Linked DNA regions of Ovis aries. The protein of the gene in region 3 purifies or fractionates together with the protein of the main gene of each other region. This does not show direct contact. Links are inferred from orthologs where the notes say so. Each region holds a gene or a part of one and is shown on either strand. Other genes may lie near its edges. The genes, in order: SHKBP1, VANGL2 and PTPN3.

Region 1 (3,746 bases), on a different chromosome or scaffold from region 3:
TAAAACATGCCAGATACTGATTTTCCCACACAGGTAGCATCGTCTCCTAGAGAAAAGATTTTTGGTGGTGCAGAGACATGGCATTAAGTGACACTGAATCACAGTGAGCTGTTCCCTTATCAGGTCCTTTGAGCCCATCACAAAGAATCAGTTTGGGGCTGCGATGATAATGATACCCCTTCAATATTTGTTAATCTTTCCTTTTAAGAAATGGAAGCCTGTTCCCTTGGCAGGCAACAGCATCTACCCAGAGTTTACTTACACTGTTATGTTTAAGGATTATTTCACATCCACTTATTTATGGCATAAAAAGCAGTGATATAAAGCTTCTATTTAAAATAATAATAAAAAAATACAGGAACAAACTAAGAGAACAGTAGGTCTTCATACTTGGCAAACTTCATGAAGGTGACAGGTACTGACTGAAGTTAGGGAAATAAAGTCATAAACTGAACTCCCCAACTCTGTACCTTCTACCAATCAGCAAAGCATAGTAGACTATAGTTCCCAGTAACCACTGGGGCATATTTTTCATGACCAGTGGACTGGCTGCTCCTTGGGGATTACAGTCAATAACTCTCCTTTAATATTTCTCCCCTCCATGCAAAGGACACCAGTTCTCCCTAAGACTCTCTACAAGGAAGTCAAAACTGGACTACAACTTCCATCAGGCTCCAAGGCAAGCTTGAGCCTCAAGGGGACTAGATTGGCCCATTGCCTCACTGGAAATGCAGTTTCCTACTTCCTCACCAAGCATTAGTCAAAGCATCTGATGTAGAACTACAACTACCATAGTGTCTCAGGGATCGCAGCTGAGGCAGGCAAGGGCTGCAGCCTTATGGGAAATGTAGTCTTTAACCCCCCCACCCTCCATTCCCACCCTGTATTCCTTAGTAGTTCCCACCTGGTGGAGGCAGGTAACCAGTAAAGAGGACGTTTCCACAAGAAGATCGATCCAACTCTTCAAGAAGCTGCAGACGACGAACTGAGGCAGAAGGACTCACACAGGCTGGGACTTGGAGAAGGCTGAGGCAGAACCTTTTCCCCTCCCCTATCTCCTTCTCCACAGAATACCACCACTCCCCTGAGACTCAGGACACCAAATCCAGTGCCCTCAGCTCTAACCCACCTTCTTTCAGAAGTGAGAAGAAAGAGAGGGTATCATTAGAGGGCTAGTTTTCTATAAGGATGCTAAGGGGGTGGGCCCACTTACCCAGAGGAGTCAGCCCATAGAACTGGGCTTCATGGAGGAGACTGGAACCGTGGACACCCCTGGGTAGTAGAATTGACTAGGTGTCAGGGTCTGGGGAGTGGGAGTGGGCAGAGAATTCTGAGGACCAAGATTCTGAAACTGCACAGAGAATCTCAAGAGGTAGCAAATGTTGATGGTATCAAGATTCTAAAGAAGAAATGATCTGGGTGGTGAAAACGTGTGTGTGTGTGTGTGTGTGTGTGTGTGTGTGTGTGTGTTGGGGAGGGATATTCTAAAGAACTTAAGTGAACATTCTGAGGGGAAGAAGAGACTTCTCAAGGGGTAAAGATGTGGGGGACTCCCCATTATCTTCTATGCCCACCTAGGGTCCAACTCTTTGGTGCGCAGGAAGTTGAGGATGGGAGCGAAGACGGTGGGGTCCCTGTCAATGAAGATCTGCGGGGAAGGGAGGCAGAGAATAGATGGGGTCAAGAGCGGGGCTGAGTGGGGCTCCTGTCCCTCCTCCTACCAGCCGCCCCGTTTCAGCTCTCGCTCTACTCACGGCTCCGGTCTCATCTTTCAGTGTCGAGATGCGTCCGCTCAGAAGACTGCAGGGAGGGGACGCAGAGGTGTCACGGGCCGGAGTGTGTGTGACGGGGAGATGAGGTCTCCCCATACCCAACCCTCCCGTCCCCAACTCTAAACTCGCTTCCCCAATCACCTGGAGAAGAAGGAGTCTGGGATCCAGGTGAGAGTCTGGCGAGAGGTACTGAATCTGTGCGGGGACGGTGAGCGGACGCGAGACGATGAAGAATGCGGCCCCCAGTCTCAGCACCGGGTAAGCTTCCCTCCCTCCCCCAGCATCCATCCAGGTTCCCGCGCCTCCAGCAGGGGGCGGAGCAATCCTTGATGGACAGAATTCCCCCCGCGGGAGAGGCGGGTATTCCCAGCCGGGTCCCCGGCCCCGAGAGTAATGACTCAAGAAACTCTTACACTCACCTCTTGCCTCCCACATTCAGATGAATCACCTCTCCGGGAGGCCCTCGACCCGGGACCCCGTCGACTGCAGGGGCCGCGGCCGCCATGGCCCCCCGGCTAGCCGGCCGGCCTGCACCCGCTTCCGGGTGTGCATCCCGCCCCCGCCCCCACCGCGTGCTCATTGGGCTTCAGACTCCCAGAGCAGCTGACGATTGGGCAAAACGCTCGCCCATCGCGATTCTCTTCTCCGCCTCCTTAAAGGGTCCCGCCTTTCCTGTCCTGGACGGGGCGGACCGAGCGGCTCCTTTGGGGAAGTTTAGTTACCACGGATAGCAGACCGTTCCTCATCCCTCTGGGATTCCCAATTTAGGAGTGGCATCTAGGTGCTTAATCGGGAACACGAGTTTAGACCTCGAAACTAGTCCACACCAAGAGGGACATCTAAATGTCCTCCGTAAAACAGTTTCTTCCTGTCGCTCCACCCAATCCTCCTGGGCGCAGCCCATGAAACGCGAAGAAACAAGCATAGACCGTCAAAGCCAAAAGATTTATTATAGGTACATAGAGTGTGCGCCTGCCACACCTCTCCTCACCCCTGGACCCCAGCGGCTTCTCCAGGTGGCCATGGGGGCTGCCCACAACCCAGTTCCCCCGCTCCCCAGGGAGGTGCTCCAGCCAGAAGCATGCAGGGGGGAGGGCTTCCCCTCGCCCCTCCCCTCACGACGTCGTATTTACAACTGGAGGGGGGAGGAGAGAGGAAGACAGTTTTGAGCTTTGACGCCCCTCCCATTAAAAGCCTTCGCGGATGCGGGGCGGGGGACGAGGAGGTCGACGTTTTGCAAAAATAAACTAAGGAATTACCGCATGGCTCTGAGACAGCGGAGTGCGGAGGCTAGGGCCCCTTTCACGCCTCCTTCCCAGACAGAGATCAAGGCAGCATTGGAAGTGAGGTAAAGGCGGGGAGGGGGCGTCCCCTCCCCACCCCCTAGCACCCTGGATGGTCCAGGGGACCTCACCAGCGCCCCCATGCCCGTCCCTAGGGCGGAGGGGGGGACGGGAATTATCGCCCCTACCACCCCAGCTTCGTGGGGCAGGGGGCTAGGCTCAGCTGGCCCCTTACCCGTCCCCCGCCCCCCCCAAGCTCAGTTATTGCATAAAAATAATAGAGCCCCAGCACCTGGGGTGGGGGTGGCGAGCGGGAAGGGGCCGAGATATGGCTATAGGGGCAGCAATCCCCCCACCACTTCTTGGGGTGCAGGAGAAGTCCCCTCCTTTCCAGTGCCAGTTTTGGCGCGTCCTCAGTGTTGGTGGGACTAGGGGCTCCCGCCCCTGCGGAAGAGAAAGTGTCTTTGTGCCCACGGTGCAGGGAGGAGGGTCGAGAAGGTGGGAAGTCACTTCCGGCGCCCGCTGGCCCTGCGCTCCCCTGCCTCCCGCTTGGGGTTGCCCTCGTCTGTGGACGACGTGGTGGGTTGTGTCTGGCCCCAGCGGGCGATTTCGGCGTGTTCACCAACCGAGGCGGCCACAGCCTCCAGCCAGCCGTTCATCTCCTCCTAGAGAGAGAAATAGGGCACACAGT
Region 2 (3,646 bases), on a different chromosome or scaffold from region 3:
CAGGATGAACCATGCTGTGCTGTGCTAAGGTGCTTCAGCCGTGTCCAGCTCTTTGCGACCCTATGGACTGTAGCCCATCAGGCTCCTCTGTCCATGGGGTTCTCCAGGCAAGATTACTAGAATGGGTTGCCATGCCCTCCTTCGGGGAATCTTCCCAACCTAGGGATCAAACCTGAGTCTCTTACATCTCCTGCATTGGCAGGTGGGTTCTTCACCGCTAGCATTACCTGGGAAGTCCAAGGCCAGGTAGGCAGTAGGTACCTGTCCTCGGAGCATGGAGGGCCACTCGAGGATCTGGTTAAGGGAATGAGCTGACCAAGGCAGCATGGGGCAGAGGAGAGGACACCGAGAGGGGATGGGGAGGTGAGAGACTAGCGCAGGGCATGCGAGACACAGTGCAGACTCAGGGCCACTCCGGGTCGCTGGTCTGCCTGGCTGACTCTTCTGGCCCATCTGAATGCCCACCACATGGGCATTTCCCAAGGAAAGGGGAGTCTGAACGGAAGGCAGAAAGTGGAGGCACTGCCTTCTCAGCTCAGGAAACCCGTGAGTAACCACAACCACTATACCTACACGTGTGCTCCAAGTTTCAAGAGCCTGGGCACACGCCCCAACAGAAGAGCTGATCAGGCTCACTTCAAGAACTCAGGAGGCCAGGTCTCTGGGAGAAGACGGGATTGGGAAAGAGGGAGAAAGATCATTTCCCTTAGGTACTTCCTGGGGCTTCCAAGCCCCAGGAATCCCCAGAGTCTCATGCCTCGTGAGATCTCCAGCTCCCTAAGATGCTCCTAAGGAGGAGGAATGATACATAGACCACCTCAGTCATCCCAAATCCTGCCTCTTCCCTCTTCTAGCACTGGGTGCTGCCTCCTGCCCTCCCTGCCAGGGGCACACAGAGGGCCAGAGAGGCCAGAGCAGGAGCAACCAGCCGAAAACCCCCTCCCATCTCCCCAAGCTCACTTCCTCCCCTTTCTCCATCAACTCCTCCCTCTGACCAGCAGGTGCTATTCTACAGTCAGACACCAGAGGGCACCAGAGTGCCCAGGGGAAACTTGGGGCTGCCACACCTCCAGCCCCCACCCACCACCGTCCTCCCACTCCACACTCCCAGCCCCCTAACTGGCTGGCATGAGCCCAGAGAAGAGGCAATTCCCATTACACAGCCCAGGTCACATGGGCCATAAAAGATGAAGGAGGCTGCTGCTTCCAAAGGGATCTCTGAATTCTACCAAGATTCTACAGAATTCTACTAAGATGAAGTCCTACCTTGGAACCCTTAACAGGGGTATGACCCAAAATGCCCTCCTTTCTCTGTCGAAAGAGGCCAGGTTTCCAGTCCCTTCCCCTTTTGGATGGACCTCCAGCTTCTCCAGAGATCCGAGTGGAAACACCTGGTCCAGACCTCAGCCCCTGACGCTCACCCGCTCATCCCCTCTCGTGGACTCATTGTCCAGCAGGGGCTCCCCTGGAGCCTGGATCGTCACCGACTTGTCCCCCCGGCTCCCGTCTCGGCTCTTAGAGCGGTGTCGGTCCCGGCGGTCCCTGCAGCAGAAGGCCAGGGGAACGGGCACGGAAGGTCAAGGGGAGGACCCGTGCTTCTCAGCGGCCAGCTTCAGCCCGCCAGCCCTGTGATGCTCCCACCCCGCTCCCCCACCTGCGTCAGCTCTCATGCACACCCACCTGTGCTTGCGGGAGCTGCGGGAGTGGCCAGACTTGTAGGAATAGCCCGAGTACTGGGACTCGGTGTCCATGGCGTCCGAACGCCGCGCCTTGTAGCGCTCCAGGGCCACAGGCTGGGGCCTTCTGGGGGGCCCCCCTGCCACCTCCTTCAGCACCGGCTTCTTCAGGCCAAGGGGCACCTTCAGGAAATCAACCGTCACCCTGAGGGACTCTATTTTGCTGGACAGGTGGGCTTGTCTCAGAGAAAATCAAGCGGCGCTCCTGAGGAAAGGAAGCAGCTGGTTGGGGTGGGGCTGGAGCTCTCTGTGGGGTCAGAGCAGAGAGGGAGGCCGTGCCCAGGAAGCAGCCGCAGGAAGCTCAGGGGAGCCTCGCTCCCACCTGAGAATGTGCCCCCCAGGCTCCTGCTCTGTCCAGTGGGCCCAGTTCCTCCCGCCCTGCCTCCTAGAAAGAGCAGCCCCAGACTGTGCCCTGGGGTGGGGGAAGATGACAGCAAAGGCCTCCCAGAATGACCCAACTCTGGACTCCCTGCAGGCAAGAGCTGGGCAGCACTTTCCTATTCTCGGCCAGGAACACTGGAGAACGTGGGTTCTGGCCAGGCCAGCTGGCTGGCCCAGTGTAGACCGCAGCAGGAGGCAGCTAGCTTCAGTCCAGAGGCTACCCCAGGCCTCTCATCTCCTCCCATTCTTAATGCCTGAGTGCCCACAGGGGGCTGCCTATGGCTGCTTCTCTTGGCATTGTCTCCCCGGCATGTATGTCAAACATACCCACAGTTACTGTAAGGTTAAGCTGGCTGCTCCCCTTAAGGCTGTGTGTGTGTGTGTCTGTGTGTGTCTGTGAGTGGCCTGACTTGTGTGCGTGCACAAATGTGCTCACATGGCCAGGGTGAAGAATGTAAACTACAGATCACGTGCTGAGGGGCAGGCGGGGAAGGTAAGCAGAAACCATTCTCTAAAAACCTGACATCCTGAACCAGGCAATGTCAAGAGCTTCTCTGATCACTGTGGACCTAGGGGCAGTGTCTTTCTTCCACACTTTCACCTTCTGGTTCAGCAGAGGAGAGGACCTCTCCGTCTCCCATCCTCCCTAACTCTCACCCAACCCTGTTTACCACCTCACAACCCAGCCCCGAGCCCTTCACAAAAGCCCCCTTCACTCCCAGCACCCAAAGGTACATCCCTGGGCACTGAGCAGTTATTCCCCACCTTTGCTCACTGAGTCGTCACCTCTTGCTTAGGCCCCATCAGGAAACCATATCCCCTGCCAAGCCCTGAGCACAGTGGGGAAGAAACCCCAGATTCACAGCCCAGCAGGGTTGGTGCATGTAAACAGGTGCATAGAAACAACTAACTACATCAGAGATGAAAGGAGAAGGACAAGGACAGTATGACAGACAAGTCTGGGGAGCAGGGCTCCTTTAAACTGAGTGGTTCTGGAAAATCTGAGAAAACAACAACCAAGCCTGAAGGAGCACAGGGTCTAAGCAGGTAGAGTGGAGGGGAAAGCCTGCAGAGCAGACAGCCACCCACAGGAAGGCCAAAGGCAGCAGAGAGTTGGGTGGCCCAGTGGAGCCAACTGGGTATGAGGGAGGGAGAGGCAATGGAAGGTGAGGCTGAAGAGGTGGCCAGGGGTCGGGGCATTGCAAACCCCAGGGGTGAGGGAAAGAGTGCACGCATACTAAGTTGCTCAGTCATGTCAGACTCTTTTCGACCCCATGGACCACAGTCCACCAGGCTCCTCTGTCCATGGAAGTCTCCAGGCAAGAATACTGGAGTGGGTTGCCATGCCCTTCTCCAGGGCATCTTCCCGATCCAGGGATCGAACTCGCATCTCCTGTGACTCCTGCACTGCAGGCGGATCCTTCACTGCTGAGCCACCGGGGAAGCCCCAGGTTGCAGGAAGAGCTAGGTTAATTCAGTGGGAAGCCTGGGAAGGGTTTTAGGTCTCCAGACAGAGACTGGAAAGAAGG
Region 3 (3,646 bases):
ATCAGTGACAGCCGTGAGATGCCAGGCTCTAACAGTCAGTATTGTGTGCTCTGATAAAATATTAATCCAGTTATTAAAATATCTCCTCCTCCCCCACGATGAAGGAGTATATCCGAGAACAGCCCAGCACAAAGCTGCCTGACCCAGAAGTCATCCAGTTCTGTGTCTCCATCTTCAAATGCTCCAGGCTCCTGCTTCCGGGATGGCGTCGATCAGCAGTTCCTAGAGGACTTCCACAGGGTGACCGAAGGGGGCTCCACCGAGGACTCCAGCCAGTACTACTGTGACAAGGTGGGGGGCGGGGCGGCTCAGGTGCTGTGGCCAAAGCAGGGCCAAGCCGGCCGGGCTTCCCGTGTGGGGCCGCCTCTTAGGCAGTTAAGTAGTTAGGACTCAAAGGAAATAGGTTATCACCAATCACTGGAGAAAGAAGTAACGTGATTGACGATTTTCTGACATTTCCCAGAACGATGGTGACGGCTACTTAGTCTTGATCCGCATCACGCCGGATGAAGATGGGAAATTTGGATTTAATCTAAAGGTACGTTGTGTGTAATTTATAAGGACGTGTGATGCTCTGAAGCACTCTTCAGATGACTTTTAAACTTCCATTACAAATGTGCCATAGACCTAAGGCTGTGTAGGAAAATTGGCTTGGCCTTCAGAATTGGGAGCTTTTCAGTGGGGCCATAGGAGTTGCCTCATACCAAGTGCCTACTCTACATACTTGTTTATATCCCCTAATTGAGGATATAAAGAGGATCGTTCATATCCCCATATTGAGTCCTTTTATTAAGTGGTGAAATTGGTATTTTGAAACATTTTATAGATGTACACTAAGGGGCTTCCCAGGTGGTGCTAGTGGTAAAGAATCCTCCTGCCAATGCAGGAGACCCAAGAGATGCAGGTTCGATTCCTGGGTCAGGAATCCCCTGGAGGAGGAAATGGCAACCCACTCCAGTACTCCTGCCTGGAGAATCCCATGCATAGAGGAGCCTGGTGAGCATCAGTCCATGGGGTTGCAAAGAGTTGGACACGACTGACTGAACACAGGCTCGGAGAGATGGGAACCCCTCAGCACTGCTAAGAGAGAGCAGGGATTCAGGTGCAGGGCCATAACCTCCTCTGTTTCCCTCTAGGCCGGCTCTGCACACTATGACCTATGGGCCCAATCCCATCTGTTCTTACAAATAAAGCTTTATTGGAACACAGACACCCCATTCATTTACAAATGGGTTATATCTCCTTTGACATTTCGATGGCAGAGGTGCTAGAGTGCCCTCTGTCCCATAAAGCCACAAAAAGTATTATCTGGCCCTTCACAGAAAAGGTTTATCAGCCTTAGAGCAGAGTGAGAGCAGGTGATCTTCGCTGCCCACCCTGCAACTGCCATCATACACTCCTTTCTGATAGCCCAGCAGCCCCGCTGACAGCCAGTTCTCAGAGGTCAAAAGCCCTCACAGTCTGAAACCTTTCCACAGCTCCTCCCCTCCACCGTAAACTCCTCTCCCAGCAGTGCTTATGGGCTGGGCTTTTAGAGTCTTTTTCCTGAGGATGTTTGCATTTTTTGAAAGGAGCCTGCTTCTTCCAAGTGCATCTTTAGTCCATGGATGGTGGGGATGGCAGTGGGAGGCTTCTGAGTGGTCTTCTGGTTGACCCACTAGACCCATAGCCTCTGGAACCTTATCATCCTAAAAGGTACCAACCCTTGGGAGTAGAATATATTTAAGTGAAAGTTGAGCCCTCCCTTTGTGTCAGAGATATCTGCATGTCTTTGGTGCTCGGAACAACTCAAGTGGTTTTTAATGTATATGTTTACAGGGAGGAGTGGATCAAAAGATGCCTCTTGTGGTGTCAAGAATAAACCCAGAGTCACCTGTAAGTAGACGTATTCTGTAATTTCCCAAGTCCGTTTTCCCATAAATGTAACAGATTTCTATTTCTGTGTCCTGTTTCTTTTTTACCGGCAGCATAGAGTGTGTGTCAATGCATGCATAGAGATAGGAAGAAAGAATTTTCCAGGGCCTTGCTGCCTAGTGTGGCCCCCAAGGCTGCAGCACCAGCATCCCTTGGGAAGCTTACTAGAAATGCAGATTCTCGTACCCCACCCCAGACCATCTGGACCAGAATCTGCATTTTTAACCAGATCCCCAGGTGATGGGGAGGCACATTAAAGTGTAGAAGTCCTGCTCACAAGAAGGCAACTGGGGCGTAGCGTTTGCTGTTCTACAAGCTCTAAGTGGGCTCGTGGGTCTTGTGCCTCTTCCCCCATCCCACCCCCACCCCACCCCATCCTCAGCCCTCTGCCTGGGCCTCTAAGCATCTAGGAGATGATTTTTTTTTAAGCATTGAGCACCAAAGAGTCCCTGTACCTCCTAAGAAAGGGGCCCATTTGGAGGTTTTACTCTTAAGAAGTCTTTAAGCTTGTGCTTTACTTTTTCTTACTGTTTATGGCCTCTATGAATTAAGAAGCCTATTGATCAGTTACATGGCTTCTTGTCCATAACGGTTCGTGCCTTGGGGGTTATGCTTGCAAAGGCTTTCTCCATCACAAGATAGCTATATACTTGCTTTTAGCTGACAAATCATTTTCTACCAAAACACCTAGAAAAACAGAAGATAGAGGTATTAGAGTCATTCTGACATTACAGTAATAAGTGAAGCTTGACTGCCATAGAGAAATGGCCTCAGTACTTTTTTTCACTTTATTCTGAAATGTTTTCATTCGTAATGTAGGTTCTGAGCAGCACTTCGTTAAAATCCCACCACTAGCCACCATGTCAACATAGCAGTGGCTGTAATAAAAATAAAGGCGGTAATGCCAGGGGGAGAAAAGCAGAACTTGGTCGCGGTCTCCAGTGTCCAGGCTCAGAAAGCATCAGGTTCTCCCCTTGAGGATTATGTTATGGTAACGAAAGAAACTCACTCTTCCCCTGCATGCAGGCAGACACCTGCATTCCTAAGCTGAACGAAGGGGATCAAATCGTGCTAATCAACGGCCGGGACATCTCAGAACACACCCATGACCAAGTGGTGATGTTCATCAAAGCCAGCCGGGAATCGCACACGCGGGAGCTGGCCCTGGTGATCAGGAGGAAAGGTAACAGCCCCTGAGGGAGAGGAGCCTTAGTGAAGAGGGCCTTCTCGGGCCCGCTCCTTGGTTTCGAGATGTTGTGCTCATAGCCAGCATCGGTAAATCAAGAGCTTTCCCCTGTTGGGAAACAACTGCTGGCTGACTTCTCACTTGAAAAATGTGGAGATTTGGCCCCACAGGGCCCCATCCCTCATGACCAGTCCTCTGCAGGTAGGCAGCACCCCTGCCCCCATTTTCAATACAAGACATGACATTCCTCTCCCCTGTTCCTCGCAGGTCCATCTCAGCCCCCTCCACGCACTCCTCTTAGCTTCCTGCCTCTGCCTTCATTTGCATTTTCAACCCTTTCTCAAAGGATCGGGTTATATTTCATTCATGTGCATTTGGTTTCGTTGGAGAGGCTTTAGCAGAATGGGGCCGGAGCCTGGCTGCCTCAAGGCTGTTCTAACTCTGCCTCCTCCTGGCTTCCAGGACCTTGAGCAGATTTCTTACCCAGTCTGTGTTTCAGTTTCCTCTAATGTAAAATGAGGATGACATAGTCGCTACCTCCCGGGA

The links.
Region 1: the proteins of PTPN3 (region 3) and SHKBP1 purify together in Homo sapiens (affinity purification with mass spectrometry; 4 studies listed by BioGRID and IntAct, with this or other methods). This does not show direct contact. The link is inferred for Ovis aries from reciprocal best matches to the Homo sapiens genes PTPN3 and SHKBP1.
Region 2: the proteins of PTPN3 (region 3) and VANGL2 purify together in Homo sapiens (affinity purification with mass spectrometry; 3 studies listed by BioGRID and IntAct, with this or other methods). This does not show direct contact. The link is inferred for Ovis aries from reciprocal best matches to the Homo sapiens genes PTPN3 and VANGL2.

Annotation. Positions count from the first base shown.
Region 1 is NC_056067.1:49,290,713-49,294,458, reverse strand, and holds the start of SHKBP1 (SH3KBP1-binding protein 1), read right to left. Parts: upstream 2,290-3,746; 5' UTR 2,278-2,289; coding exon 2,192-2,277; intron 1,968-2,191; coding exon 1,914-1,967; intron 1,801-1,913; coding exon 1,755-1,800; intron 1,649-1,754; coding exon 1,575-1,648; intron 1,273-1,574; coding exon 1,214-1,272; intron 986-1,213; coding exon 905-985; intron 1-904. Other genes in the region: SPTBN4 (spectrin beta chain, non-erythrocytic 4), read right to left, coding at 3,562-3,720.
Region 2 is NC_056054.1:111,431,605-111,435,250, reverse strand, and holds part of VANGL2 (vang-like protein 2), read right to left. Parts: intron 1,942-3,646; 5' UTR 1,752-1,941; coding exon 1,681-1,751; intron 1,543-1,680; coding exon 1,422-1,542; intron 1-1,421. UniProt on the Homo sapiens protein: Involved in the control of early morphogenesis and patterning of both axial midline structures and the development of neural plate. Plays a role in the regulation of planar cell polarity, particularly in the orientation of stereociliary bundles in the cochlea.
Region 3 is NC_056055.1:13,920,864-13,924,509, forward strand, and holds part of PTPN3 (tyrosine-protein phosphatase non-receptor type 3), read left to right. Parts: intron 1-104; coding exon 105-291; intron 292-463; coding exon 464-538; intron 539-1,818; coding exon 1,819-1,875; intron 1,876-2,940; coding exon 2,941-3,097; intron 3,098-3,646.